Linked DNA regions of Drosophila melanogaster. Changing the gene in region 3 together with the main gene of any one other region gives a genetic interaction. Each region holds a gene or a part of one and is shown on either strand. Other genes may lie near its edges.

Region 1 (9,841 bases), on a different chromosome or scaffold from region 3:
TCCTGCTGAACTGTATGCCAGTAACTCCACTGGTGTGCTCGCTGAAAGTAACAAAACAGAAACTGCTCTGCGTGTTCCAGAGCTTCACCTTGGAGTCTTCGCCGCCAGTGGCGATGAACTGACCATCCGAGGAGTAAGCAATGCAGGTCATTTCGCTGCTGTGTCCCTGCTGCTTCATTATGTATTGCTCGCTTTGCCACTCCCAAACCAGAAGTTGGCCAATCTCTCGGGAGGCCAATGCGACCCAGTCACCAGTGCAGTTGAAGAGAGCCGCCGAAATAGGATAGTCGGAAATGCTCAGCGAATGAATCATGTTGACGTCGGGCAATTCGTAGAGGTAGAAAGCTCCGGAACTGAAGGCTACCACCAAAACCTTGGTACGAGTGTTGTAGTTTGCCGCGGTCAGTTGTACATCCCGCTGTTCTTTTCGCGGCTCATCGGCCAAGTAATGACGAGTTATTTTTTTGTAAAAGAAGGGGTGACTCTTCGTCTCGTCCTCATTTTTTATATGGTTGACATCTTCGGCTTCCTTGGTAGATTCCTCCTTCAACGCATCCTTTTCCACTACATTTTCAACGTCATCTTCTGACTCATTGTCAGATACTGCCTTCTTTTCCTTCTTCCTTTGAGGGGGAGCGATTTTTGGCCTTTCAGCATCCTCTAAATCCGAGGGAGCTAGGCTGCATTCCCACAAGCAGAGCTGACCATTGCGGCTTATGGTGTTCAAGTGCAAGCTGTTTGCCTCGAAAAAACAAGCTACAATGGCGTCTGTGTGGCCACTTAGGTTATAGGTGCGGAAGTTCTTTGTATAGTTGATGGCAACGATTTTGGTGGAGCTATCCCGACAGCCGATTGCCAAAAGTCGAGAGTCCGAAGACCAGTCCAGCCAAGTGACATCGTCGAATCCACCTAGGAATCTTCGGCGCAGGACGAAAGGATTGTACTCCCCTGTGATCTCACCAGGTGCACAGAATATCAACACTACGTTCTGCACAGCGACGGCAAAGAATGCTCCATTTGGACTGAAGCAGATGCACTGTACGCCCGTCTGGAACTTGTGACGATGTATCACCGTACAGGACATCATGCTGATGAGCTGCGCCTCACCCTTTTCATTGACTGCGATGAGCAGACTTCCATCCGGGGAAAGAGCTATGTTCGTGTAGTTATACCGCGATTCCAGGGACAAGGTGCGCGATTTGTTGCTGCAAAGGAATAAAATATATTCATGAAGTCTTTGGATTTAAAACGGTAACTCACTTTTTTAAATCGTAGACCGTTATCCTATTGCCAACCGGACTGATAACGGAATTGCCATCCGGTGTGAACACCAAGTTTCCATTACGATATATTGTGCCCAACAGGTTGGAAAACTATAAAAACCAGACATTAGCAATTTGTAGTATTAACTTATGAGACAAATTACTTTGTAGGAAAACTTCATATTGCGGCGGGCTTTTAACTAAAACCACGAGCTAAAATATAAACAAAAACTCCCGCACGTGTTGAGGTAAACAGCACATGAGGATGGAATTGCACTAACGCATTCTTAAATCCCGCAGCACAGTATATACCACAACGGTGACAAACATCGAATAAAGCAAATAATAAGCCACGTCTTTATAAGAATATATAACATAATACTTAATTTTTAAAATACTTCATTGCTTAAACTTTAATTTTTTGAATTCATGTTATAAAATAATCACTTCACATTTACGGTAACTGTCATACCAGTTGTTTACTGTACTACGCTCCGAAACAGATGTTTTTACTGGTGCTGCCAACGCGGCCCAAAACCGACCAAAATATCAAAGAAAGGAAAACAACGCATTTTCACAATTTCTAAAAACAAAACAAGTTTTTAATAAAAATTACCTATGGAAAAGACGAAAACGGCTGCCGAAAAATTGGCGGAGCGCAAGGCGCGTTTGCTGGACCTACACAAGAAGCGCCAGGAGGCGCGTACGGACAACCACCAGGAAGTGGTGGCAGAGGACGCTCGCAAGAAGCTCCCCAAGAACTGGGAGGCTCGCAAGCGACAGGCGGAATGGATACTAGCGGACGACAAGGCGCGAGCCGAGGCGCAGGCAGCTGGCAAGGATTACGAGCGTTTGAAGCTTTTGGAGGTATCCGCTGTGGATGCGGATCGCATTGAGAAAAAGAAGAAGCGTAAAGACAATCCAGATCTTGGTTTCTCCACATACGAAGCTCAAACAGCTAGACAGTACAACCGATTGGTCAAGAGTATGCCTGCTCGCGATTTGGAAAAGTACGAGCGCCAGAAGGAGGAACTCGGTGACGCCTTCTACGGTGGAGCACACACCACTTTGCATTCGAGGACGAAGGACACTCCAGGTGCTATTAACAAAATGGTAACAGACCTGGAGCAGCAGATAGAGCGCCGCAAGAAGTACTCTCGCAGGAGGATCTACAACGACGATGCGGATGTGGACTTCATCAACGAGAGGAATTCCAAGTTCAACAAAAAGCTGGACCGCTTCTACAGCGAGCATACAGCCGAGATCAAACAAAATTTGGAGCGGGGAACAGCTATTTAAGTTTAGTATTTTATTACCCTTAAGATTAGAGTTCAATTTGTGCACGTATAATTTTTGCAAGTGCAGTTTACATGAAATTCGCCTATAATACCACACAATCGTCCAATTGTTTACACATAAAAGTTTAAACGTAGGAAATGTTGAAGCTGGAAGATTAAAAAGTAAACTCATTATTTCGATATTAGATGTCCAAATTTTTCATTTTATTTCGCGTAACTTTGTGAACATTCATCGTCGTTTGTTTTCTGAATGAACGTAGTAGCGTTTTCGCCCTTTGTTTCCTGTGCACAAAGTACATAGTTGGATGCATGGTCGGTGAAATAAAACGTCAATCTACATATCAAACTCCATCCCTCTACGATGTGAACTTGGTGTCTCTAGAAGAAGAAGCCGAGAATTTTGCCTCCCAAATGTTTTCTCCTAGCCTCCTCGTGGTCCATGATGCCGCCAGAGGTGGTGAGCACAACGTAACCAAACTGACGCGAGGGCAACAGATTGTTGGTCCACTTCTCGATGTCGTTGATGGGCGCATCGAAGCGGGGCGAGATGACGCCGCACTTGTTTAGCCGACCGGTCAGGTTGACAACGATCTTGCCGGCACGGTGATCCTCGACGATCTCGAATTCGCCGATATAGCCATGCTTCATCATCACGGTCAGGAACTTGATGATCACCTTGGAGCAGGGACGCAGCAGCACCTGCCGCTTGCCACGCTTCTCGGCGTTGTTTATGCACTTCAGGGCATCGGCCAATACGTTCATACGCACCATAGCTGGATTTGTTTGCCAAAACTGTTTTACACGACCGTCACGCAAACGTGAAAAAGGGAAAAAACCTTTACTTGAAAACTTCCGTAAGTACTTCTCTTAGATGTAGTTCAAAACTAATTAATGAAAATGTCAAATTACTTATGAAGCGAGTTGGCAGCTCCGTGTCCAAGAGCAAACACTTATTTTTAAACATATCGATATAATGCAGCAGTTTAGTGCGCGGGAGAAGTATTTGGTGTCCAACACCTTAAATTGTTGGCCCGTGATGCTGCAGGGTCATTCCGTACTGATCGATCTGCACAACGAGACCTCTGTGGCCGGAATCATCGATGTAGCGGATGGACACATGACCTGCGAGCTCACCCATGCAGTTTTCATCGATCGCAATGGTGGTCAGCACCCCTTTGATCACTTTATGGTGCGGAATCGAATGATACGGCAGATCCACATACCTTCGTACTTGGATGCCGAGCAGGAACTTCGAAGCGCAATGGAACGGGGAGTCCTGCGAAGAAAGCGAGTGGAAACCAAGGGCGGAAAGCGGACATTCAAGCAAAAACGAGCGGAAGTGCGACACAAGGAAACATTGCAAATGATCTCACAGCAAAAAAAGAATAAGGAAACCTAAACTATTAATATATGCGTACTTGTTATATTTACCAAAAATACATTACATACATACAACTACATTTATAGTAATAAACCTATGAAAAGCAAAACAAATTAGCCCAATCAATTATACACAAAACATAGTCTCTAGCACGTTTATTTATTCCAAGAAATTCAAACGTATACAAACTGAATATCTTATATTCCCTTAATCAAAACTCTACTTAGCGGCCTGCTGCTTCAACTGCTCCTGGTACATGTAGTGCAGCTCCATGCAGTCGGTGTTGGAGATGTTTACCCAGCCGTCCTCCTTAATGTGATACACGCGAATGATACCACCGGAGTAGGCATCCCTGAAGGTGGCATGGTAGATGGCGCGACGTCCCAGCTCCTGGGCCTCCTTGTCCTCCAGGTCCCAATGATAGCCAGAGTCCAGGACACCGTAGGCGTACAGCGATCCACTACCAACAGAGAACAAATTGCCAGGCGTGCGAGATCCCTCGGAGTCCACATAGTAGAGGCCTGGACCACGCTTATCGTAACCGGCCAGCATCATGCCCATGCTCAGACCCATTCCCTTGTATTCGTGGGCAATGTTGGCCATTATCTTGCTGGCGGCGGCCACCGAGATGCGTTCCTTGTTTCGAAGCTCGTGAAGGCGGCATTCCTTCGAAAGGACCCTGTCCCAGTAAACGCAATCGGCTGCGCCACCGGCCAAGGTGCCCAGCATGAACTGATTGATCTCCACGATCTTCTTCATCGACTGGGAGCCAATGTACGATCCACCCGTGGCACGGGAATCGACTGCCAGGAGAACGCCGCCCTTGAACTTGAAGCCCAACGTTGTGGTGCCGTGATCGAAGTTGATTTTGACGCCGGTCTTGTCGCCATTGGCCTGGATCTGATTAAGGTTGTGCAGGGGCTGAGGAAATTGTCAAATTTTTTAGTAAATTTCCCAAGAAGATCAGCTAATTAACTACATACGTTCTCGAATGGCGGAGCAGCCAGTGTGTAGGGATTGGCCAGATTGCACATAAGCCCTTTTTGCTCTTCCTCCACATCCGCCGATGACCAGGCATTGGGCCGCATGTACGGAGCATTCGATATCTTGCAGATTTCAGCTAAAGCCATTCTTAAAGCTCCTTAAAAAACAATTGGAAACGTTGAATGCGAAATGCCGATGACAAACAAAATTCGTTGCCTACTTGTAGAGTGACCGTACTTCTGTTGGAGCAATAATGCAGACTATCGGCTTCACCGTTAGCTGTCGCAGGTACGGCAACCCAGCTCGAAACCTGTTGCCAATTTTGCCTGTGATTGGCTTTCTTTTAGTCTCTTTTTAGGCCTGGCTTGAAGCCAAATTAACTCTGGGCGTTCCATCAATCCATCAATGGCCAAATACTGCAAAGTCGGGTACTGAACAATAGTCGAAAGTAAACATGTGTAAATACGTGAGAGTGGCGAATTGCAATGCGTAAATTGCGGTCCAAAGACGGGATTTAAAATTAGTGAAAAGTAAGTCGGGAATCGAGAAAACCTAGGCGCACTTTAAACCTGGTTTTCAGGTCTAGAAATTTACTGTAATAGTGTTGAACATTTAAGAAACCATACATGTTTTATCAATGTGTTATAATGAAAGACATTTAATCTACCCTCAAAAAGGTTGTATTTCAAATTACGAGTCCTTTATTTGATCGCTTTTGGTAACTCCCACTTCTATTTGTAATGACAATTACTACGTGGTACGCCATTACGTGAGGCACACATACATGCGCATACACGGCTAGAAAATGTGCGATCGAAGATCAGATTCATTTGATCCCAGGTCAAGTTAAGCTCTTTCGTCGTCAACAAGGTTATATCAAAGAATACCATCTTTCATATGATTTTCGACATATAAACGATTCTAACGGTAATTACGGTACTTTAAGTAAGATTTTTCATTTATTAAAGACAAAATGTAGTTCTAATATAAATAATTTTTTTAATTTTATCTGGTTTTGATAAAGTGTTACTTAAAAAGTTATAATTGCAACACATCATGATAAATGAATGAAATTATAATTTAACAAATTTGATAAATAATGAATATTTTCGCAGACAATGCAGCATGGATCCTCCCGCATTCCGAAACAGGAAGCTCTCCCGAATGCGATATCCGGGGTAAGTAAGGGCACTTGCCTGAACCAACAAATCTTACACCGATGTAACTTCTTTTTCTGATTTAAGCCCGACTCCAGCAATTGGACTTCGCTGCACGAGGCGGTAGCCGCCGGAGATGATCGCCGGGTGGAGGGTCTCCTGTTCAGCAATGCTGATCGACTGGCCAGGGAATCCGTGCAGGGGAATACCCCGCTCCATGAGGCCGCCAGTCGGGGGTTCAGTCGCTGCGTGAAATTGATCTGCACGCCCCCCACGCCACCCGCTTCCTCGGGGGTGGGAAAAGCAGCAAAGGGACAGAAGGACAAAGACAAGGATAAGAACAAGGGCAGAGTGAAGGTGGCCCACCAGACCATCGAAGCCCTACACAATAGCGCCCTGGGTATTGCCAACAACGAAGGGTTGTCCGCCCTGCACTTGGCCGCTCAAAATGGTCACAATCAGAGCTCTAGGGAGCTACTGCTGGCCGGCGCCGATCCCGATGTCCGGAATAATGTAAGTGTTGGATCATATCAGTGATAACCATGTTTAACATGTTTAACAATTTCAGTATGGAGATACTCCGCTGCACACCGCCTGCAGATATGGACATGCAGGAGTCTCCCGGATCCTGCTCTCCGCCCTTTGCGATCCGAATAAAACAAATCTGAACGGCGACACCGCTTTGCACATCACCTGTGCCATGGGTCGCAGGAAGCTGACAAGGATTCTCCTAGAGGCAGATGCTCGGCTGGGCATTAAAAACGCACAAGGCGACTGCCCCATGCACATAGCGATCAGGAAGAACTACCGTGAAATCATCGAGATCCTGAACACGCCGAAGAAGATACGGAATCGCAAGGAGAAACCCAAGGAGGGCGGCAGCAGATCGGACAAGGACAGAGATCGTGAAAGGGATGTGGTGGACAAGGGTATCAACTGGTCACCCTATGGCTGTCACTACTTTCCCGATCCGCGTGCCTTTCCTTCACCAAAACTGGAGACACTGCCCAAGGAGCCACTTAAGTCGGGGGAGCAATACTTCCTGGATTTGGCTGGTCATATTCACAAGGGTCCGGTCAGCGTGGGCAACACATGCTATTGCGGTCCCTTCTTCCGTCACATTGAAAACAAACTAAATTGCAATCGAAAGAGTTTGAAGAAATACGTTCACAAAACCAAGGAACGTCTAGGTCACAAAGTTCAGGCATTGGCAATCAAGACGAACGATCAGATTGAACAGCTCACAAGAACGATGATCGAGGACAGATTGCGATGCGAGAGCAAGAGGCAGCACCTCAGTGAGTTCCTGCGACGAGGTGAACCTATGCGGTCCACCTTCGATCAGCAGAACAAGAGCTCAAGGATCGAAAGAACAATGTCCAGGTGCCGCAGTCTAGAGCTCTTGGAAAACAACCACGAAGGTGGTAGGCTCACCAACTCACGGAGTGTAGATGTCCTGGAAGATCAGGCAGTGGAGGCTATAGTACACCGATCAGCGGAGGTCCAGGTGGATAGCGACAGCGATGACGATTCCAATGAAGCTCGGGATGAAGAAGAGGCAGAAGTGGGTGACAAGGACCAGGTGCAAGAAGAGGCGGAACCAGAGGAGCACTCGAAGCTAGATGAACTTAAGCTAGATTTCCTAAAAGTCTCCGAAAGACTGGGAGTGCTTTTAGAGAAAACCACCCTGATCATGGAAAGGGACAGCGAACAGGAGAGCAAGCGCCAGCTTTCTTCCTTATCGCCACCTTATAATCCCCATCCAAGGGCGGAGTCTGCCCAACTTCGAGAAGATAAAGAGAGTGTTAATAGTCCCAATTTCGACGAGTACGCCAACGTGATACGACGCTATCCGAACTCCAGTGAGACCTCAAATCCCTCCCAGAACTCCAACAGCTGGGACTGGGAGGCATCACCCACGGGCAGCAATCCCCACCCGGATTACAATAAGTACTACCAGCGCATTGGGAGAGGAGAGAACATGCTGAACTCGGTGATCAAGGCGCTTCGAAAAGATGCCTCCTTCGCGGATCTGGGCAAAGAGGAGACGGCTGTCAATGAAACTGCCGAGGGAATGGGAGGCGACAAGCTGCTCTACAAGGAGCAAGCGAGCGAGGCGGCAGGTATCTCCAATCTGATGAAACGGCAGCCTCTTTGCTTGGAAGACAACTATCCCGTCATGTCGAATTTATTTTACTCCAATCCCATCATGGAGTACGCCGAGGAAACAGAAGTGCGTCAAAATGGCAATGAAAGTATGAGTAAGGTGGAGATTCGGAACAGTGAAATCAAGTGCCTAAAGAAGCCGAACGCTGGTCAGGTGAGGGATATGGTGGCCCAACTGCAAAACACCATTGACTCCAATCGACAGGACTCCCAGACGGCACATGTGATCGCCGCAAGATCACACTCCCGCTTGAACAATAACTTCCATCACTTGGAGGGCACCTCTTCGAACCCTTCGCCCACGTATAGTATTCCCCACCGGAGTAGCGCCCAGTTTGGGCTGCCCGAGAGACACATACCCAAAGATGCTTACTTCCATGAACTGCCCCACCGTCCACCGATTCCGCAAACTCCGCAGAGAAGGCTGCACTCCGGCTACGTACCAAATGCGAGTCTCTATCGCAGTGAAGATCTTTACGTGGGAAGGATTCCACATCCAAATGCTCCACCAAGACAAGTGGACTACGTGGATGCGGTAGCCTATAGGCCTCTGCAGTCCCCCACCTTTCAGGCCATTGTGCCGCCCCATGTTAATCAAAGGCCAAGGAACTGGCCTCATCCCAATCTTCCATCCAATGAAATCGATCTGGACGAGCTGTCTGCCGTTGGCCTCTACAACAATGTCTCGAGTCTAGTTTGAGTTCGGTAATCCCACAGCTGTTCCCATTGTACATAGCTAATCCCTACATATTTATCTTAATTGTAATCAAGTTTTAAACTACAAAGAAAAGTTAACTTATTTTCAACTGATGCATCTAATCTGGAGGGTCTAAAATATATAAATATAATACAAAGATATATGTACAATAATTTTGTTGTTTTTTGTTGAGGAGTTTTGGGTCTGAGTGTTTTCATATTCTGCGTAATTTATGAGAATATCGTGTACTTAATTATTTGGTTATTCCACTTTTGACCCCAAAAATACCCAAAATATTAAAAACGTTCCAACCTGCTCGCTTGTAAATCAAACGCAACCGAATGTTTTCGATCAAAATATATTTTTCTTTAAAAATGTTTAATAATAGTATTTATGCATGTGTAAATATCAGAATGTCAAGTACATATATTTATTGATAACAGATCATTTTGGTGTTTTGATAGACATGCGGCTTATGAACTCTGTATAATTGTGTAAACGAAATCAACCAGGAAATCATCTCAATAATCGAGCTCCGATGTTTGGTGGGAATTCAAAAAAACCAAATCCCCACCGCTGACAAAAGTAAACAAGTAAATTGGGCAACATTTTGATATCGTTCACCAATATGTCTGCGGTATTGTTAGTACAATTTTAGCAAGTGCCTAATGATGATTTCTCGATGTCTTCGTAGTTAATTTAAAATTCTATAAATGACACTGCTGCTGAACGGCGCCTGCTACTTAAATTTATCGGCCACTTAATAATATCTTAATTCTGAATAGTCATATTACAAATACAAATTACAATAGCCAATAATTTAGTCACTTCGCATGTATGTATAAGTATGTCTCAATGTAGGTTTGTTCTATGTAAGTATGTATATGTATATCGCC
Region 2 (11,160 bases), on a different chromosome or scaffold from region 3:
TAAATTCGGTAACAACACCCATCGACATACAAACAATGACGTGATTATATTGGATGAAATCTTTTTCGGAAGTGAAGTTTGTTTTGTACTATATAAAGAAAAATATTGGATATAGCCATTAAGAGATTCCATGTAAATATTTGTTCGAGTTGATTTGCTAGCTTAGATTTATATCCTTTACGAATATATTGTGCGCTCTATCCACTCCTCCAACGTAAAGGTGGCTGTTTCGTTCTTCTCGGTGTCGCGCTCCTTGAATATATCTACAAGAAAAGTTTACCATAGAATTTTCACTTTTATAAATTAGAACCACATTCACATTACCAATATATGTCTTGATTTTAACAGCGCACATGATAAAATCATCGAAGGCTATTTTGCCATCACGAGAACCATATCGATGGCCCAAAACATTTAGAACACGATTGTTTAGATGATAGCCAGCAGAGTTAAGAGCTTCGCGAAGCTGGAATCCGGATACCCTGCCCGTATTCTCAACATCATAGACCTTAAATATGGCCTTCCATTTGGCAATTTCCGAGAGCAAAGTCTCGAACTCCTCGAATCCCAGCTTTCCAGACTTATCAGCATCCAACATGGCAACCATGGAGCGGCAAACATCCTTGGAAAAGCCATGAGTCTCATCCACAATTGCTGTAAAAATTTCTTTGTATTCTAGTCTTTTTTAAAAGCGTATATATATCATCTTACCATTTGCTGTTACAGGACCTCCATCCGCCGGATTGTCCCCTATCAGCCTCTTGTTCGACTGATCATTCATTCCCAACTGCTCCTCGAATGGCGTACCCTTCAAAAACGGTCCACAAATCAAGGATAAAAGTCCACAAGCGCCAGCTCCATCGTCACCAGGGCCAGCAGCCTGGGTCTCAAAGGCCATGTTATTGGAGAAACGGTTGAAAACCACTGGTTTGGGTAAATCTGAAAGGAAATCGTTGTTTGAAAAGCCATTTGAGTAGTTTTTAATCTCGAGCCTTACCGTCCCTCATCGAATGGTCCAAAATGCGTTTCAATTCCATCCAATCCACCTCCATGTCCTTGCCGGCAATGCTGTCGAAGAGGCGTCGCAAGCCCTCCTTCTGAGGATCGATGGGCTTGGGTGTTGGGAATCCTGGCGTAATCTTTAAAGCGAAATTTCTGAATAAGCGATCCCGATCCCATTGACCACAGTTAACTTACCGTATCGGCTTTGCCGCCATAACCCACATGATCATCATTCTCTCTAGATGGGAGTGAAAAGCGAAATGATTGATATTGAAATGAATGGAAAACAATTCGTTTATAGAGAAACAAATGGAATACAATACAATTTACAGTACAAGGATTTCGAATGGCCTAATGAGTATTGAGAAGCAGATTTTCAAGATGAGCTTAATTTGTTGGGGTCCATTTTTAAAAGTATATTGTTGTGGAAGTTTCCTTTATTATTACTTTAATAAATATCTCGTTACATGACAAAAATACAATTTAAACAAGGGTTAAAAATAAACCGAAAAATTTAACTTTGTTAATAGATTTCACTATGTTGCTGCCGCCACCCTTTTTATAACTGATAAATTAAGAAAATTGAACTTCATATTGATCAGAATTATTCTTAACATGTAACAGACAGACCGACATTACATTTGAATTTATCTAGAAGAAATATATTTCGAGTTTCTGGAATACTGCAGGCGTTAATCTCAGGTAAAAATATATATAAGAGGAGTGATTAAAAAATGGCATAACCAACTTATCTGTCAGGAATGTGTAGAGGGTAAAGAAACAAATCTAGTCAAACATTTACTAGCACTAGAGATTAAAGAATACTATAGTCACAACATACCACATATTGCACGTAAGAAGCTTTTAGTTATAGAAACCCCTCATTATTTCTAATATACAAACTCATTGTCATTGTCTACTTGTACGCACTCCATGTTATTTTGAGTTTCTGAGAACACTCGAATGATGAACTCTCCCTCCTCGTTTGGATCGAAAGTTGAAGGCACAATCAGGTAGTGACCAGGAGGCAATTTGAAGCGAGCACACACCTAAATAAGAAACGCATATGTTAAGTGATTGCAGCCATATCCTGGATATATCCGTATACGTACTTCGCGGGTGTTGATAAAGTGCGGCGATCTTCCCACAGAAGACTTGTATCTGAAAAAGTTCAGACCCTGGGGACGGTTTTCCAGTTCGCGATCATTAAGGCTATAGATAGCGAAACCAATGGTCAGACACTCCATTCCCATATTGCGCTTCGATCTGCGATTCTTTTGCATTAAGGCCACGATGACGGTGCACTGTCCCTCTTCGTCTTCCTCATCAGGATCGACTAGGGTGATAATATACTGGGGGTTGTGCCAGAAGGTATCCAGGAAATTGCGGCAACCACCAGCTGTAACACCGGGTGTCCATTCTCCCTCATACATGGACATCTCCCACTTTCGCTTGCCACTGTTTTGTTGGTCCTCGGTCAGTGAGTCCGGCGACAAATTGCAAATCTGAACAAAATCATGGCGAATGAATCATGAAATATTTCACCAAGAAATATTAATAGTCCTACCTCCACGCGATCGAAGTGGTTAAGAAAATCTTGGAAGGACATCCAGAACTCTCCGTCTCTGTCGAATGTTAGTCCAATCTCCGCCTTCTGTTCCTCGGGTATATAGCGCCATTCTGGTGAGCTATCACTCCATGGTCCATTCCACTCGGCTTCATTGCCCCAAGGATTTCGCATTCTTATCATAGGGATCTTTCCCTGACGATTTGGCGTTACTATGTCAATAAGGCAAACCTGTTGACATAAGATTAATTAATAAAATGTTCTTATCATAGCAATTTTCCGAACAAACCTTGGTTATGGAGTAAGCGTGACCACGGATTAAGCCCTGAGGAGTTTCTGCCTCCGTGACATTTGGATCAGGCTCAATCGAGCATCCCATCATGGAATTGCGTTCAGCTGCTTTTTGCAGAATGGTGAATAGATTGCCGGGTGCTTCTTTTAAATCGTACCACTCGGATACGCCGCCAGTAAAGTCCTCCATGGCCTCGCAAGTGCTGCCTCCCTTTAGTGCCTCGTAGGATCCATGAAGTCTAGAAAGCATATATACATCAGTTGACCATAAAGTATGTGAATAATGTAGTCCTACTTGGCATAAGCCTTCTCCAGCAGGGCGCTCCAGAACTCGTTCTTCTCCGTGGAGTGCATGTACATCAGCTCTCCATTATAAGTGGGCAAACGGTCATCAATGATTACATCAACCCATTTACCTTAAAATTTTAAACTAAAATTGTAAGAAGCGCATGAATAATTTTTTTAATAAATAATTTACCATACTGCCAAAAGCGGAAATGGAAGATACCAGCATAGTTCTCCTCGAAACTCTGTTCCGCTGGAATTACCCGAAAGAAAAGGTTGGATTCCTGAGTTAAATTGGCTGTGGCAGCCAAGAGCCAACTGTAAATGTAAGCATTTATTTAAAACTATTAATTATTCTGGCTGCGGAAATAGAGATTTTGTTCTTACCAGTCACCAAGCTCGCCTTGCTGAACATCAAAACGCGAATAACCCTCCACAAAAAACTGGGGATTCTCGGCAATTTCCTTTATAATTAAAGCATTTATACCTTTAGTTACGGGTAATATGGTAGTATCTAAAACTTACATGAGGTCTCAGCCATTCGATGTGACGATCTGGACGCCGGGAAAACTGAAGAGACTCGTTCGAAGCCGGAAAAAGTGGATCTTCGAAAAGGGAACCACTGGCCAGGCAGCTGTTCAATATTGTCTCATAGTCCTGCACCTCGGAATAGGGTCCCAGGCTCGAGCTCTTCTCTCCCAGCTAAAAAATACATGCTATTAGTGATATGAATCTAACAAAATTGATGAACTTGATTAAGAGTATTATGTATGTACACGATAAAGTTGTGTAATGGAGTTGTATAAACGATGATGCGTTTTACACTTTACATGCGAAAGAAAAAGAACACAAGGACAACACAGTACGACACTTTGGCAGCGCATTATCCTTGGAATGGAATTATGTCAATGCCATTACGATGACGGGAGTAGGTACTTACGTTCCCATAGTACAACGTACTATTACTTTGAGATTGCAATGGTTGCTAATGAGTGGAATGTATATGTATTTGTTAACATGCATATGTAGATTTCAATGGATTGTTTTCTATGTTTGTTTAGTATAGTATAGCGCCCTATAAATAACTGTTGATAACCGTGTGGGTCAACTTACAACTCTCATATTCTTGATGCTGGGCAGAACCCTCTTGGTGTCGGCCTCCTTCTTGATGAAGATCTCGTTGATCACCGATCCGACCACATCCTTGGCCGCTCCCATTGCAGCCTCACCAGCTGCATTGAGGAACTCCTGTCCCGCTTGCCTCAAGAATCCCCTCAAGTCGTCCATCGTGCAGATATCTGAAAATATATGTACATATATAGTTTAATATCAGTTAGCAGTGTAAGGTGCCGCCTCAGATTAAAAACCCATTAATAAATATTTATTGTTCAAACATTTGATGACTAGTTAGCAACATCCAATATTTTTTATATCGCCCATATTTACTTATAAGCCTCGCGGTGGAATTAAAAGCACACCCAGAGACATAAATATGGTTTAACGAGCATTACAGAATCGTTAGTATTCCCAGTGTGACTGGAAGTCGGGCTAAATGAAATTACTTTAATTCACGCAAACTGAAATTATACTTTGGAGACAAGAATGTCTCGGTTCGCACCCAAATATAATTCAAATGTTTCTACATATACAATGCTGTATTTATACATATGTAGCCGCTATATATATATGCTATATTGTGTGACATCATTCGGAAGCATGAGATTCTCTAGTGACTCAAAGGGTGTGCGCCATTCGGGAGATTAAGCTTCGTTTTTTATCCATATTAAGCCGGGATATTGACATTGACCCATGGAACTACTACATATGTACGACACATATAGGGTATATATTTCTGTGACAATAGTAAATTGGCCTTTAATTGGGGCGAAATATGCTAGATTGGCTGACCCATCTGTTATTGTATTTGCGAACATTGGTAATTCTACGGCGAAACCCAAACAGGTTTGGTAATTAATGCATTCTTCTGGCCTGGCTCATTCCCGTGACCACCATATTTTCGTAAAGAATAGTATATTCGTCATAGGCACTTGATATTTCTAATACTATATATATTTGCCCATTTTCCAACGGACCTTGATTGGTCGAGAGAACGATTTCCGAATCGAATCACGCACTTTCACTCCCCAAAATCACAGCACAACAATAAAGTAACGGAACCACGCACCTTCACCGCACGGAGATATTTACTCACTACAAATATTTATATCTGTAGCTCAACACCTGACTGCTATCGAATGTTTTGGTATTTATTTTTATCGAAGTATTTTGCCGAAATTTGTGATTTGCCAGCCCTATTTCAATGTAAATATATCGATAATCGCCCGATTTTACTGAAAAATATTTCGATAAGAGCATCGATATTTCAAACAAATATCGACCCATTGACATGCGTCAGGTTTGTCCATCCCTAACAAAATCGTAGTACGAAATATCGAAAACGAAACACATCACGCGGGCGAAATTTCGTGAAGTTCAGCATTTACAAATTGTAAGCAGTGGTTTTATCGAACCCATTGACCAATTAGTGGGCTTCTAAAATTAGTGATAGACTTTATTAAATGAAACGAGAAAATAGAGGCGAATACACCCGTACAGCAAATTGACCATCGATTTTTTCACGGCATTGCCGGTGACGAGAATGCGACGCCGTTCATACACACACACGCACGGACACGAATGTGTGTATATGGCGCGGCGCTTGTGTGTGAAAGTGTATTCGTATAAATAATATGACATAATCGACGTGTGCGGCTTAATTGACATAGTTTTTGTGCGAAGAATACCTAAAAGTGCGAAGAGAGCGCCAAAAAAGGCGTTTTTTGTTTGTGGTCAAGGTGGCAAAAAGGACTTGCACCGCTATTTTCCCCTGCGCTTTGCTCCAAATATTCGTTCCTCCCCATACACTCTCTCGCACACACACAAGCGTGTATATTTGGGCGTTGCAGGATGAAGAACTCTCTTTCTCTCTCCCACTTTCCTTCGCTCTCTTCTCGTATTCTCTTGAACACTTTTGCGCAATTTGAGTGATTTGCAAGGCAAACTAATGCTTTTCGATTGTTTACCGAATTTAGTTAACCCCGTTTGGAAGCCAGTTTGTCTGGAAGTTACTTCAGTTTAGTTGTTTTCAACATCTCCACTTGACGTTGCCTAACACTGCCCGCCCTCTCTCTCTCGGCTTCTTTGCCACTGTCCGTGCGCAGTTCTCTTTTGCGCTTCATTCGTGCTCTGCCCGTCGGACGTGTCCGTACGATTTTGGATTAAGTTCTCGTAGGCAATTCAACTTGAAATATTTATTCGCTGCGGTGCAACTAAAATTTAATTCAAAGAATTAAAAGTGCTAAGTGCTGTTAGGAGCGGCAATTTTGCAAAAAAAAAAATATTAACAGTTATTTGGTGTAGTGCAAGAAGCCCAAAAGAGAACAAAATTATTTATTTTAAACATATTGCATTCAAGGCAATAAAAAGTTAAATCTATTAAAATTTTCTACCCTCTCCCTCCCCTTTTATTGATAGTCTCCCTCTGTGGCGTATGTGTGTTTGTACGAATTAGCGGCTGAAAACCAAAAACCGAGGTGCGAGAGCGAGAATACATTTATAAAAAACGCGTGCGTTTCTCCTCTAACACATACAGTGAGTGTGACCGTTGTATTTGTGACCTGTGCCTGTGTTAGCGGCCACTGGAGGATCAACGAATTTAAAAGAATACTAAAAGTACCGGTGAGTATTCTTGCATCTACCGGATGATGTGTTATAATCCCGTTAAATAGTGAATGTCCCCTCGTGCCCTGCATTCGTTTTAACCGTTATGACGATGAGCGGCAATTCGGCCGGTGACGCCATCTTTTGTGCTTCTCTAATAAGTGTTGTTTTTGTTTTTTGGGTTTGGTCAAGCTCACGCAACACGGCGTGTGTGAGTGAGTAGTGTGTCTATTTTGTTGTTATGCTTCATAGACAGTGGCGAAACTACAGATTATTATTCAGGGGTCATAAATGTCATTTAAGATCAAGAACATATTATATTTAAATTTATCCGGAAATATGAGCAAATGTTTAAGGTGTAGCACCACATTGACCCCCATTCAGACGCCACTGTTTGAGCTTCTAGTTCTAGCCACTTTTCTTCTCTCTTTCTCTTTTTTCGGGTGGGTGTGATTGTGTGTGCGTGTGCTTTTCCTTTCCATATGATTCATGCTTCTTTCTACCTCCGGCTTTCTATGCGCTTGTCAGATTAAAAAAAAAACCCATTTTCCAATTCTCGTCGCTGATTTTATTCATCTTTTATTTGGCAATTTGTTGCGAATGCCACTTGCAAATCTCTAGCCGTGTGCCTAATGCACTTGGGCAATAAATCCGCCTGCTGGCGCGCATCTGTGGGCAAGTTTCATGACCCACTTTTCCTCCTTGGTCTCTCGCCTTTCAGCAAAGTAAATAGTGAAAAGCAGCAACAAGTGATAAACAGATTTGTAAATATTGAAAACTTGTTTATGCCATTTGTCAGTGCAACCCAATGCCTACAAAATAGACTTTATAGGTATCGGAGGTAGTTCTTGATACTCAGTCAGTTCGATTTTTAAATTTTTTGTTGTCATTCAGAGCCCATCTTGATATTTCTGTAATTTATTGTAATCTTGAACGAATAGGAATTGATAACCTTTTACTTTAATTATTCTTTAACCCAATTCAATGCGCTATGCTTAAATGAAACATTACGCTTATAGAATTTAATATAATTTAAATTAGCAATGTTTCCTATAAAACTTTGTTTTATATATAGCCTTCTATAGATGTTCTTATGCAAGTCATAGGAGTTCGATTGTGTGTGTGCTCTCCCGCAATCTTATCAGAACCTTCGCGCTGGTTACGTTTTCTTGTTAGATTGCTGTTTCTATACAAGTACCTACATATCCACATTACAACAAGCCAACAACATTCCCAATTTAAGTTATAAGGAATTTCTCCTTTGCCACCAACTAACTACCTACCTATTTACAACATTCTTCGATTTCTATTACCTTACTTCCTGTTCTATATACTCATCATATCAAATTCGAGCATTCCATTTGCCTTAGCTACATATTTTGCGATACATGACGTCATTTCGCACACATTGCTTATAAAAAAGGTAAAAAAATAAAATAAAAATTTGCTCTTTTTGTTTGCTGGCTTTTGTTGCTAATTCGAATTTACTCATAGAAATACATGGGCAGTGGGCTTTATTTATTCATTGCTTATGCTGCCTCCCCCTTTATCACCCCTTATCAAGCTTTTCACTTGTTCCTCTTGCTCTGTTGTCCGTTTTCAATTCGCAAATTAGACGTGACTCGTTGGTTGAGGGTTTCAATTGAGGTTTTTTGCACACCGCAAGTTGCATTTAGAGAATTTTCGAAAATCGTTGAGGCATTATTTGTATTGAATTCCATTTGCACTACGAATACTGAAAAGGTGAAGCAGACTCAGTGTAAAAAGACAACAAAAATAATACAAAAACGATTGCTTCCGCTAAAAAAAAGTGACACATAAAAGTATCTACACAGAAAAAAAAACGAAATATGATATAACCTAAACAACATAAAGTAAAGTACGAAATCTTTACGGATTGGAAAATTCTGAATGTTTTCGTAGTCAACGGGTCAACCAAAATAAAATTGACTGCCTCTTTTTTTCTTTGTGTGCGTTTCATTCTCACGGGAGGAAGTGCATAGTTAAAACTGTAAACAATTGTTGAGGAAACTAAACAACAAAAAATGTTTTGGAATGGAAATGAGACGGAAATTCGAAATTGTGAGCCCCCGAAACCATAACAAATAAAACAAATAAGAAAAACGATAAGAAATGCACTTCAAGTATACGAAAAGACTAACTTTCTAACCTTTATTGAGGCGTGTCCGTCAATGCAAATGCATTTGATGGGGCCAACCAGTCCTAATGACTTTTGATTTGGGAACTGAAAATTGTTTACTCAAGCGTGTGCTTATCAAAATTCCCACTGACGTCACATCACTTGTGATTAATTGATTTGAAAATGGTTAGGATTAAGCTGAATAATTTTGATTAATGTGGCTGCAGTGGAGCTCCTCTGCGAGTCTGGCAACTCTGGCTAAGACGAAAAACAAATTTGTCCAAGAGCGAATGCTCAAAATTTATGGCTCCCTAAAAACTGAAAAATAAATTCTACTCTGTTTCTGCCCCAAAGCCAATTGACGTGAAGATGCAACAGAGTGAGACGGGAAAATGAAGGGGAGATAGCCAGCCTGAAAACCCTCACACATAAATAAATAAAAGAGGCGTACGTGCCAAGCTTCAAAACAGAGACACATAAGCAAGATTAAAAAAAAGAGAGATGTTGCTGCTGGCTAAACAACTGCAGCTCATCAATAAAACAGCAAGAACAACAATAAACCAGGCAATGAAACCCAGCTAAAGAGATAGACAGAGACAGCGGCATGCACAGCGACAAGCAATAACAAATGTACAGTTGCAGAAGCAGCACGGCCGCATCGTGCAACAACAAACTGCTGCAACACAACATAAATCTTGGAAGAAAAGAGAGAAAAAGAGTTGTCAGCATGTCGAAGCTTTTACACCCTTTAAAGGTTTTGCTTGGAAGCATATAAAAAAAACTTAATTTAGTAAAAAAAAAAAACAATCAGCATCTTTGCGGTTAGTCTTTAGTATTAAATATATTTCAGTTTTGAGATAGATTTATGGATATTAAGTAAAGTTAAAATGTTTAAACCGAACAGAAAAGCATCCAGCATTTTTCAAAGCTTTCTGAACTCTTTGAAAAATATTTAAATCCACATCATATGTAAAAGATAAAGATCTCCCTACTCAAACAATGCCTTGAAGTGCAGTCAACTGTGTTTGTCACTGTTTGCTGTTGTTATTTCAGCTTTAAAAGCTGGCGACCCGCAGAAGGAAAGCAAAACAATGTGGATAATTATATCGAAAAGTTGGGGAGCGAAGCGGAGAAAAATGTAGACAATTTCTGTTAAGATGGGAAGATGATGATGATGGAGCTGTGTGTCTGCATTTCTTGCCTTCTTCAACATTTCTTGCTTGCATTTCATCTGCGCTGCGCTTGAACTTCAATTGAATTGTATTCTCTCTCCTCTCTTTCATTGCATATATACCCCTCTCTGTCGACCGAAAGTGATTGAAAGCCTGTTATTATGGTGGTCTGATCCGACTGAACTAAATTTAAACTGGAATTTAGGCTAATTTCGTTCTCCGGTTGTGTGGGCGTGGGAAATGGGAACCAGTTCTTATGTTCTTATTTTTTTCCTGTATCTTAAAATTACCACACTTTGTTGTAATTAATGTAAATACTATGGAATTAAGTGTAATTTACATTTGTGGCTGTACAAACGTGACAAGTGGCTGACCATAATACAATAAATGGCACTGCAATTGCTGCTTGCTGCTCTTCCGTCAACCTTTAATTCTAAATACCCTGTCAGATGATTTTCCTCTTTTTAAATGCTAACCCATTTTTGTACCGGGCACAAATGTCGATAAAAAAAATCTGGTTTTTCGAACACAATCTCTGCACTAAAGCATTGCCAAACACGAGGGCAACACAATAAAGCTCTATAAAAAGACCATCATCATTATCATCGGCATATAACAATGAGCTGTGAGCTGAGCTGAAGCAACAATAAGCGCAAACGTGTTGCCGCATAAATGAATTCATAATGCAAAAAAAAAAAAAAAGAAATATTACAAAAAAAAAAAAATGGGGGAGGTTGAAAAAAGCGATTGTGTAGCGCACGAAAGAGGCGGCTTACATAATCGTTTATATCCTCCGAGTTTGTAAATCAACACCAGAAGCGGCTAAACTGCATTAGCAATGCTGTTTCGTTCGTGTCTGGGCTTTCACGCATAAACATTTAGAGAGCATTTATTGGCCAATTTCATTAGACTGCAATTGTGCGTGGCAAGTGAAATGTGCAAGATCACCTGAGCGCATCGAAGAAAGGTGTTATTAAATCAAA
Region 3 (11,366 bases):
AAGGCAGACCTTCTCCCTGCAGCAGCTCTCCCGGGCGACCATTGTGTCCAACACCAGCTACGACGGGATCAACCAGATGGAGCTGCCCGGTCGGCTGAAGAGCTACCTTAAGGAGTATCACTACAAGCAGAAGCTGCGCGTCAAGCCCATCGACCAGAACACCCCGATGCCGTACTACGGCAATGTATAGCGGGAGGAGCAGCAGGTGGGCTTCACCTACTACGAGGACGTGGAGAGCGGCAGCGAGGTGGACGAGGACGACGACGAGGGGGTCAACATACGGGTCTCCTACGTTCAGCACGCCGAGGTGGTGGCCCAGCTGCAGCAGGTCACCACGGCGTCGGGCCCATCGGCTCCGTCCTCATCCAGATCGTCCAATCTTCAGGAGCACCTCAGCAGGCTGCCCAACCGCATGGCAGCCGCCTTTGGTCGGATGTCGGCCAATCTGAATTGCTACCAGAAGACTGTCGCCACGCCGGAGCGTCACTCCAACTCCTCCTGAGGATCAGGACGTGGACGGAGGGGCAAACAGAACCCAGAAACCAAAACTCAAACTGAGACAATCCCAGTGCAGCGTGTGCCGCCACCATAAGTTAAAAGATCAAACGCGAAGCCACATAACAAAATCGCTAGCTCGCTACTACAAGACTGTCATGGATCAAAAACCAAATGTTCACCATATATATCTCACCTATTGGAATGCAGCTCGGACGGATTTTTGAGTTGTGGCACTCTTGAAAGCGAGCTGGTAGAATGTAGAATCGAAATCGCAGTTAGCTAATTGTACTATAAACTAAGTATTATTATCTAAAGCAACCCTCTCTCCTACACACATAAGTATTGCAAAAAGAAGGGCCAATCGAGCTTTTCGTAATCGCTGGTATTCTTGTAATATTTCATTGTATTTATTTGAAGTATGGAATCTAAATGATGTGTTACTGTTACGTGTAAATACGAGATACGAATGCAGCTTAGTTAGTGTAAAACTCTCTCATTAGCCAAATTTCCAAATGTAATTTTCGCCTATTTATGAATATACTTTATTTATTTATTCGAAGTGATTTCGTTCGCAAGCGAGTGCTTTGTTTAAAAAGAAAAAACCCGTCAGTTGTACACGTGTAGAGCATTTGTAAATACTACCGATTTTCGCATTAAGCTGTAGCTATATTAATATAATGAATTATAAATCATGTATTCCTACCTAGGTGGTTGCTGTTATTCGTAAACATTCAATAAGCAGTTGTTTCCAATACCTATTTAATGTATTTTACATATCTCACATGTTGATGAGCATGCGTATCAATATTCAAAAACAAAATCGAAAAAAGAGTCAAACAAATAAAGTTGATCAAGATATTAGAAAAAATCTCAAAGTGTGTTTTGAATCAGAAGTGTGGAATCATAATCAACCCAAATGATTGATGTATTTTAATATCTTTAACAAATGAATGTTTAACTCATTCGTTATTTTCATTATAAAGTCGTGAATTCTTTATAAAATGAGAGTAATCAACTAAAATCTATAGATTTCTATTTATTTTATTTTATATCTATAAAATATCTATAGATATTCTATCAAGATTATGCTGAACTAAACCTTTTTTACTTTCTTTTATGGAATTCGAATATGCAATCTTAATGAATTCTGTGTCGCATATTTGTAATCTTTTTGCAATTTTATTTATATATTTTTATAAGATGAATTAGGTATGCTTTTTTTAAGTTTAGGTAAATGTGGAATATTAGTTTGTATATCAATTTAAAAATCACACTTTTTGAAACGTACGTATAAATAAAAATTAAAGGGGAGAGGTCATATTTAAGATGTAATTCAAGTGAATTACAAAAATTCAAAAATTAAATGACTTTATCATTAATTTTATAGTTGGAAACAAAGCCAGCTCAGTGAGAACTGGTTGAAAATGCCTATCGGACTATCGATGAGTATTCATCGCTAGTGGTAACTTGCGACCAACCCGAGGCTGGTCACACTGCTCTGGTCGCGTCCAAAAAGTGTACAATTTTTCACCACCTCGGTTTGTTTTTTCGGACCAGGCGAGGCACCTTCGATTCGCTGCGACTTCCGTTTCCGATCCGTTTCGGATGATAGCTCTGAGTGCGCTGCTAACCAAATATACGATCGGTATTATGAGCAACCTAAGCAATGGCAACAGCAACAACAACAACCAGCAGCAGCAGCAACAACAACAGGGTCAGAACCCACAACAACCAGCACAGAATGAAGGCGGAGCGGGAGCGGAGTTCGTGGCGCCACCGCCCGGACTAGGTGCCGCAGTGGGCGTGGCAGCCATGCAGCAGCGCAACCGCCTGCTGCAGCAGCAACAGCAGCAGCACCACCACCATCAGAATCCCGCCGCCGAGGGAAGTGGCCTGGAGCGGGGCAGCTGCCTTCTGCGCTACGCCAGCCAGAACTCCCTGGACGAGAGCTCCCAGAAGCACGTCCAGCGGCCAAATGGCAAGGAGCGCGGCACTGTGGGGCAGTACAGCAATGAACAGCATACGGCGCGCTCCTTCGACGCCATGAACGAGATGAGAAAGTAAGGATGGCACGAGATCCTGTCGAAGGATCAGTTCGTACGACTATAAAATTTGGTTAAGTCCTTAAGCATCATAAAGAAGTAGCCAGGGTTTCTAAAGACCTTAAGGCAGTATATTTAGATCCACAAATAGTATTATATCCTAATTCCTACCTGTGAGAGGTTTTAAAAACCTTAGGTAGAACATTGGTTATTTTGTACCTGCCCTGGAGAATAGAACACACAGCACCCACATAGGACTTTTAATGATATGCAGAATTAGATCTATGTGATTTTATAGCCTGATTATGTAAATAAGCACACCTACAACGGTTCGAAAAATGTTTCAAATGTCATTTGTTTGCTCAACAGCAAACCAGCTGAACGTTCGTTCAGGTTCTAAAAAGGTGTCAGCTATTTCCCAGTTACTATTTCCTTGACAAAACAAGCTGATCTGAGTTTCTACCACTAAAACTTTCAGTTGTTAAATATGACGACCTACCTCAACTTAATATAAATAGAACTGTGCTAACTACACTCTATTATAAACTCATCTCCTCTGTTCCCGGACAAAGGCGCATGATTCAATCCCTGCGTGTTCGACGGGAACAGGTGGACCGACTGGCTCTCGAGCTTTGAGATTTGGGCCAAGATGCGAAAATAAAATCTCTGAAAATGTCAGATGATCGTCTCTCGCATATTTGCGCAGTTCGCTTTGTTTATCTGGCCGTTGCTAATATTTGTGTTTGCACACTACATATGTATAAACGAATATTTGCCGCCGCTTTTGTCGTGGGGCCATTCGCATTAATTATTGTCTAGTTTTTATTATGATGAGTTGCTTACGCCTTCGGGTTTCGCATTGGGCCACGACCTTGAACTTGGTTGCGGCCAAAAATGATATTCGTTTTCGAATCGCATTTCGATTCCGCTTCCGCGTCTCCGCCTTTGCTTACTTTTTGGAAAACTACTGGGCGTATGGAAAATTTATTGGTAGCTTACATAAAACGAGTTTTTTTTTTCGGACCAATCATATCGTATTCGGCGCGAAAGTGAATGTGGTATAACCCAAAAAGTAAGCCGAGCGTTGTAATGTGGATTGCTTTTTGATTGGGAATTGAATCACACAAATATTTCGTGAGGTGTATATTCTATGAGATTTTTTTTATTGGGTTATAATTATAACACCTTACGATTTTGAAGACAAAAGATCTTAGTCTTTTCGAGTAGTCATCATCATTTAATGGCGCCATAATTTGCACAGTTAATAGCATCCCCGTCTCTTTTTACAAAACAAAATATTTTCCTCTTGAAAAAATTCAAGCACTTTTGTTTACAAACATACATACCAGCCTTGAAGATATTTAGCACGCTTTTAAACTGTTTATTTGGCAATCAAAACGATCTATTGCTAGTGGATTTCAAAGTCTCAATATTGTCGATACATGACGGTTACTAACCAATTTACTGCGTACAAAAAAATGTATCAAATCTGATATATATATATTTTTACCTATAACAGACAAAAACAGCTCTGTGATGTGATATTGGTGGCCGACGATGTGGAGATCCACGCTCACCGCATGGTGCTGGCCTCCTGCAGTCCGTACTTCTATGCGATGTTCACCAGTTTCGAGGAGTCGCGGCAGGCGAGGATCACCCTCCAGAGTGTCGATGCTCGGGCCTTGGAGCTGCTCATCGACTACGTATACACTGCCACGGTGGAGGTAAACGAGGATAACGTGCAAGTCCTCTTGACCGCCGCCAACCTGCTCCAGCTCACGGATGTGCGAGATGCCTGCTGCGACTTCCTGCAAACTCAGTTGGATGCCAGTAATTGCCTCGGCATCCGGGAGTTTGCCGATATTCATGCCTGCGTGGAACTTCTCAATTACGCAGAGACCTACATCGAGCAGCATTTCAAGTAAGTGGCTAGATTGTGATGACGCAGTATGGGCAGACAAATATAAAATTGTTTTGATTTGCCTGTTTACAGATAGGAATCCATTACTGTATCTGTTCAGTGTTCACTTTTAGAGCATGTATATTGGGAAGACTCACTTTAGTTTGTTCTATATCTACGGATAGTAATTCGTATTTAAATTCCAGTGAAGTGACTATTTATTTATTATTTATTGAGGATAGAAAGCTGCCGTACAACAATATCAATTGAATCGATTAATGGGATCAGATATTTTAATAATTATAGTAACATTTAATAACATGTGTCAAGTTAAAGTTCCTTAGACTCAACAAAAAGGATTTTTAATTATATTATAAAAACGATTAAATTCCTAGGTGTGTTTGGAATGTATCAAAATTTAAATAGTTTAACAGTCACGCATTGGTGTCTTCCAGCATCTGTTTGAAGTCGCTAATTTTGGGTTTCCATAAGATCACGAATTTAATCTTATATTAATTATATTTTCGAATTCAACTACTGAATTAGTAATAACCAAAGTATCAGAATTATATAAGTTCTCATTGATTTCATCAGGCAGAAACAAAATTAGTTAATTATTAAGTTTATATAACAGTAAACAGACGCAAAACCGAAAGCAAATGTGCAATATAAACCATTGAACCGGTTGCGATTAATTAAATTTACTTAGCCCACTCCTCTCATTCCTTGCGCCCCATTACTAACTGCTTGTGTTTGGTTTATTTGCAGCGAGGTGATCCAGTTCGATGAGTTTCTGAACCTCTCGCACGAGCAGGTCATCAGCCTGATTGGCAACGACCGGATTTCGGTTCCAAATGAGGAGCGCGTATACGAGTGCGTCATCGCCTGGCTGCGCTACGATGTTCCTATGCGGGAACAGTTCACCTCGTTGCTCATGGAGCATGTGCGTCTGCCGTTCCTGTCCAAGGAGTACATCACACAACGTGTGGACAAGGAGATCCTCCTCGAGGGCAATATCGTGTGCAAGAATCTCATCATTGAGGCATTGACCTATCATCTACTGCCCACTGAGACAAAGTCCGCTAGAACGGTGCCCAGGAAGCCGGTGGGCATGCCCAAGATACTGCTCGTTATTGGAGGACAAGCACCCAAGGCTATACGATCGGTGGAGTGGTATGATCTGCGAGAGGAAAAGTGGTACCAGGCCGCCGAAATGCCCAACCGCAGATGCCGCTCCGGCTTAAGTGTCCTGGGTGACAAAGTCTATGCTGTCGGAGGTTTCAATGGATCACTGCGTGTGCGCACCGTAGATGTCTACGATCCTGCCACGGATCAGTGGGCAAACTGCAGCAACATGGAGGCCAGACGATCTACCCTGGGAGTAGCTGTCCTCAATGGTTGCATATACGCCGTGGGTGGATTCGATGGCACTACGGGTCTGTCGAGTGCCGAGATGTATGATCCCAAGACTGACATCTGGCGGTTTATCGCCTCCATGTCCACGCGTCGCAGTTCTGTGGGCGTAGGCGTCGTCCACGGACTTCTTTATGCCGTGGGCGGTTACGATGGCTTCACTCGTCAGTGCTTATCTTCAGTGGAGCGCTATAATCCGGACACGGACACATGGGTTAATGTGGCGGAAATGAGTTCGCGGAGGAGTGGCGCCGGAGTGGGAGTGCTGAACAATATCCTTTATGCCGTTGGCGGTCACGATGGTCCCATGGTCAGAAGATCTGTTGAAGCCTACGATTGTGAAACGAACTCCTGGCGTTCAGTGGCAGACATGTCATATTGCCGGCGAAATGCGGGAGTGGTGGCTCATGATGGCCTGCTGTATGTGGTCGGTGGCGATGATGGCACCTCAAATCTAGCTTCTGTGGAGGTCTACTGCCCGGACTCGGACAGTTGGAGAATACTGCCTGCTTTGATGACCATCGGACGCAGCTATGCGGGCGTGTGTATGATCGACAAGCCCATGTGAATGGAAGAGCAGGGTGCATTGGCCCGGTAAGTCAATGGAAGCATTGTTACCAAAACAAATTATAATAATCTCTCTTGTTTCTTTTCAGCCAAGCTGCTTCGTTGGCCATCGCACTGCTGGATGATGAGAATAGCCAGGCGGAGGGCACGATGGAGGGCGCCATTGGTGGTGCCATCTACGGTAATCTGGCGCCGGCTGGTGGGGCTGCAGCGGCTGCAGCTCCAGCTGCGCCGGCTCAAGCTCCCCAGCCAAATCATCCGCACTACGAGAACATCTACGCGCCAATTGGACAGCCCAGCAACAACAACAATAACAGCGGCAGCAACAGCAACCAAGCTGCAGCCATCGCCAATGCCAATGCCCCTGCAAATGCCGAGGAAATTCAGCAACAACAACAACCAGCTCCCACTGAACCTAATGCCAACAATAATCCGCAACCGCCAACAGCAGCAGCTCCAGCACCATCACAACAACAACAACAACAGCAAGCACAGCCACAACAACCTCAACGCATACTGCCCATGAATAACTATAGGAATGATTTGTATGATCGATCTGCCGCCGGCGGAGTCTGCTCCGCCTATGATGTTCCGAGAGCCGTGAGATCTGGCCTTGGTTACAGACGCAACTTTAGGATTGATATGCAGAATGGTGAGATTAAGAATAATATTAAGCAGAAGACAGTTACACTAGCTTGATTCGTACTTTTAAGTATGAAGTGCTCAAAAGTTGTCTTTCAATTAACCTCTTTTTGAACGGTTGCTTGTGCTATATAACTTTGTACGTATCGGTTTGCCTTCATTTTCGTGAATATTTTAAGCAAACAGCCTTTTTAAATGTTGTGAGGTAGGAAGCAAAAACCATTTAAACTTCAAAACAAACACGAAGTTCAAATCAATTATTAGTTCTTAACGGCCCACATTTAAATCAGCATTTAAACGCATAGTTTCTAACTTTTCGTATAACAAATGAATTTTCATTAATCGCTATATTTTCCACTCTAGGAAATCGATGTGGAAGCGGTCTTCGTTGTACTCCACTTTATACGAACAGTCGATCCAATTGTCAACGCCAGCGCAGTTTTGACGACACTGAGTCCACGGACGGCTACAATTTGCCTTACGCCGGAGCGGGAACAATGCGATACGAGAACATCTATGAGCAGATTCGAGATGAGCCACTTTACCGCACATCCGCTGCGAATCGAGTTCCGCTCTATACACGTCTCGATGTTTTGGGTCATGGAATCGGAAGAATTGAAAGGCACCTTAGCTCGTCATGCGGCAACATCGATCACTATAACTTGGGCGGACATTACGCGGTATTGGGACACTCGCACTTCGGAACCGTGGGACACATTCGATTGAACGCCAATGGATCGGGAGTAGCAGCTCCTGGCGTAGCTGGGACCGGCACTTGCAATGTTCCAAATTGTCAAGGTTATATGACAGCAGCTGGATCCACAGTTCCGGTGGAGTATGCAAATGTTAAGGTTCCTGTGAAAAACAGTGCCTCCAGTTTCTTCAGCTGCCTGCACGGTGAGAACTCGCAGAGTATGACCAATATTTACAAAACGTCTGGAACGGCAGCTGCCATGGCTGCCCATAATTCCCCATTGACGCCAAATGTGTCCATGGAGCGAGCATCCCGATCGGCGTCCGCGGGGGCAGCTGGATCAGCAGCAGCAGCTGTTGAAGAGCATTCTGCGGCAGATAGTATTCCAAGCTCATCCAACATTAATGCCAATCGGACAACAGGAGCCATTCCGAAAGTGAAAACAGCTAACAAACCCGCTAAGGAGTCGGGAGGATCCTCCACGGCCGCATCGCCAATTTTGGATAAAACTACATCCACTGGATCGGGAAAGAGCGTAACCTTGGCGAAGAAAACTTCTACAGCAGCAGCACGCTCGAGCTCATCTGGAGATACCAATGGCAATGGGACTTTGAATCGTATCTCCAAGTCCAGTTTGCAATGGCTACTAGTAAACAAATGGCTGCCGCTGTGGATTGGCCAGGGACCCGATTGCAAGGTAAAAAACATTTTCTCTTCTTTTTACCTCGAACGAATCTGACTATGTACGTCCATATTAGGTAATTGACTTCAACTTCATGTTTTCCCGTGACTGCGTGAGTTGCGATACAGCTTCAGTGGCATCTCAGATGTCAAATCCGTATGGCACACCCCGTTTGAGTGGTCTTCCCCAGGATATGGTACGCTTCCAGAGTTCCTGCGCTGGAGCTTGTGCGGCAGCCGGAGCAGCTTCTACAATACGAAGAGACGCAAATGCATCAGCTCGCCCACTGCACAGCACTTTGAGTCGCCTGAGGAACGGTGAAAAGAGAAACCCCAATAGGGTGGCTGGTAACTATCAGTACGAGGATCCTTCCTACGAAAATGTGCACGTTCAGTGGCAGAATGGTTTTGAATTCGGAAGATCCCGCGACTACGATCCCAATTCCACCTATCATCAGCAGCGCCCTCTGCTGCAACGGGCTAGATCGGAGAGTCCCACCTTCAGCAATCAGCAGAGGCGACTTCAGCGGCAAGGAGCTCAAGCTCAACAGCAATCGCAGCAGCCTAAGCCTCCTGGGTCGCCAGATCCCTACAAGAACTACAAACTTAATGCTGATAACAACACCTTCAAGCCTAAGCCTATCGCTGCCGATGAACTCGAGGGAGCTGTTGGTGGAGCTGTAGCTGAAATAGCGCTTCCTGAAGTGGATATCGAAGTTGTAGATCCTGTCAGCTTAAGTGATAACGAGACTGAGACAACCAGCAGTCAAAACAACCTTCCAAGCACTACCAACAGCAATAATCTGAACGAGCACAATGATTAAATGTGGATAAAATAAGTTGCTTCTGGTAGATCAGCGTTGTAGTTAAAATATTTAAGTATGGAGTTAAACTTCTCTCAAACTCATAAATTTTGTACGGCTTTTACGATTTTATATTAAAAGTAAGCTGGGTTTTATATTTATATTCAAAAGTGATACCAGTTTATAGTAGAAAGACCAGTTTTTACTTCAGTTTTCAATTCGCTATGTGCAAGGAATTTTTGTAAGATTTTATGTCTCCAGGGACAGAGAACTTTTACTGTGCGGAATTTCTAATTACAACGCTGCTCTACAAAATTGGATCTCAAAACAATACAAGCATAACGAATCGACCAAATGAACTTCGAGCAAAATTATAAATTCATTTTAAAAATCAAAAAGATATACACTTAAACATTGTAGAATTTGATATTACTCTAGAATCGGGCGACTTTGTGTGACCAGCCAACGCTCAAGATCGTATATTATTATGTTGCATACTGTAGTTGTAGTTGAAACAAGAATTTTTGTGTGTCATGTCGAGTTATAGGTAACCTAAGAGCCACATCATATCACTCTCCGTAACCACTTTAAGCAATATGCATTTGATATGATAGTTCCATTATTTTTCCACTGCCTACTCAAATTTCCATTACCCCATGGCATTTGGCACATGGACCGCTTCGTTTCAGTATGTTAAGTTATGGCTTTAAACCGGAACAATAATATTTAGCCAACTATTGTACAAGCTCTCCACTAGAATCCTATTGTTTAAGTCAATTAGAGTTACAGGTATTATTTACATGCATATACATATATACAAGCGCATATACAATACTCCAGATCGGTACATAAATATAATCATACTTACAAATGTATTGAGTTTAACTAATTCATAATAAAATAGTTCAACGAAATGCTATGCGACTGGAATTATTTTTCTGGAAGATTTTTGTTTTTATTTTAACAAACTATTATAAAATTGGATGCTCCGTTCTCATTGCTTTGTTGTTCATATACACAGATACATTAAATATCAATACCGTAAATTAAAAAATACAATATCTGTTCGTAATATACTCGTTCTATAGATATATCATGCCAGGGATTTTTGCGTTTGAATTTTGGTCGCTCTAGGCTCGATTCGCCGATTTAGCCGATATGTTTTCCTATGCTCCCTCATATGGATAGACTCAAAAAAGCATAAACACTGATGAGCGCTAATGTGCATAGTATACGTATATTTTTATATTTTTTGAAATTTTGCTTCTAAATCCAATATTACGGGAATGCTTTATTCTTACTCGTTTACTCTTTAAATATTTGTAGTAATTTGTTGGCTGCAATTTCTCGCTATGTCTACAAGCTTTGTCTAAATCGCTGATAAGTTCTTTAGGATTAGATTTTATATATTTGCTGTTGTCGCTGCTGCTGCTGCTCTTGATGTTGACTTTGTAGTATACTTCGTTTCACCGCCTCGTTCAATGCTAAACTTAAAACATACATGAAAAACTAAGAACTAAACTAGAAAAATTCGTTACAAAATTAGCCCAGAACTATACAAAAACGCTTTTAGCGCTCGCCTCCCTCTCACATTCGTTCCTCTAACGCAGATCAATTGCAAAAAAATATTGTACATACTGCTAATTAATTGCCAAAATAATATAAAGCGACAATAGACTAATTGTCGAAGGGCCTGGAATGTCTCCTACTTCGGAAATAGACTGATACAAGACTCGAAGGCCGATTGAGGGATCCCAAAAACAATCTCAAAGTGCCGCCTGTGTTATTTTCGCATTTACCATCGCGATATATATACTCTGACACTAACCCAGCTGTCATGATCCCGCCCTTTACTTGGGCAACTCATAGATCTGGACGGGCAGCGCCTTGGGCGTGATAATCTCATCCTCGAAGTCCTCGTCATCACCGTGGATGGCATAGTCGCCGCCATTGTGCTCCCCCTCGAACTCGTTGGGCACGATTTCCACGTCGCTGGGCCGCGAGGTGCTCCGTGATCCTCCGCCGGAATCGCTGCCGTGCCGATTGGATCTCGTCTTGGTGGACTTGCTTACGAAGTCGCGCAGCATGTGCGAGTACAGGATGTCGTCCAGGTAGTACATGGTGCC

The links.
Region 1: of kel (region 3) and Prosbeta5, changing one enhances a phenotype caused by changing the other (phenotypic enhancement), as found in Drosophila melanogaster (one study listed by BioGRID).
Region 2: of kel (region 3) and hts, changing one suppresses a phenotype caused by changing the other (phenotypic suppression), as found in Drosophila melanogaster (one study listed by BioGRID).

What each region holds. Positions count from the first base shown.
Region 1 is NT_033778.4:10,815,303-10,825,143, reverse strand, and holds Prosbeta5 (proteasome beta5 subunit), read right to left. Parts: upstream 5,167-9,841; 5' UTR 5,146-5,166; exon of another isoform or gene 5,083-5,145; 5' UTR 5,072-5,082; coding exon 4,925-5,071; intron 4,863-4,924; coding exon 4,161-4,862; 3' UTR 3,966-4,160; downstream 1-3,965. Other genes in the region: CG12325 (uncharacterized protein), read right to left, coding at 1-1,205, 1,261-1,373, 1,427-1,444; CG12343 (uncharacterized protein), read left to right, coding at 1,881-2,561; RpS15Ab (ribosomal protein S15Ab), read right to left, coding at 2,939-3,331; Lsm10, read left to right, coding at 3,534-3,959; dgo (diego), read left to right, coding at 6,044-6,103, 6,170-6,595, 6,651-8,948.
Region 2 is NT_033778.4:19,419,317-19,430,476, reverse strand, and holds the start of hts (hu li tai shao), read left to right. Parts: upstream 1-5,573; 5' UTR 5,574-5,654; intron 5,655-6,362; exon of another isoform or gene 6,363-6,679; 5' UTR 6,680-6,883; intron 6,884-11,160. Other genes in the region: CalpA (Calpain-A), read right to left, coding at 178-263, 325-654, 712-939, 998-1,139, 1,198-1,240, 1,933-2,051, 2,115-2,507, 2,570-2,800 and 7 more. UniProt on the Drosophila melanogaster protein: Required for assembling actin at ring canals in developing egg chambers. Probably interacts with other developmental proteins involved in nurse cell/oocyte transport through the ring canals. Important for normal neuromotor function.
Region 3 is NT_033779.5:18,128,669-18,140,034, reverse strand, and holds kel (kelch), read left to right. Parts: upstream 1-1,951; 5' UTR 1,952-2,103; coding exon 2,104-2,558; intron 2,559-4,059; coding exon 4,060-4,461; intron 4,462-5,208; coding exon 5,209-6,421; coding exon of another isoform or gene 6,422-6,447; intron 6,448-6,509; coding exon of another isoform or gene 6,510-7,072; intron 7,073-7,425; coding exon of another isoform or gene 7,426-8,453; intron 8,454-8,514; coding exon of another isoform or gene 8,515-9,261; 3' UTR 9,262-10,151; downstream 10,152-11,366. Other genes in the region: Socs36E (suppressor of cytokine signaling at 36E), read left to right, coding at 1-190; CG5758 (uncharacterized protein), read right to left, coding at 11,091-11,366. UniProt on the Drosophila melanogaster protein: Component of ring canals that regulates the flow of cytoplasm between cells. May be involved in the regulation of cytoplasm flow from nurse cells to the oocyte during oogenesis. Binds actin.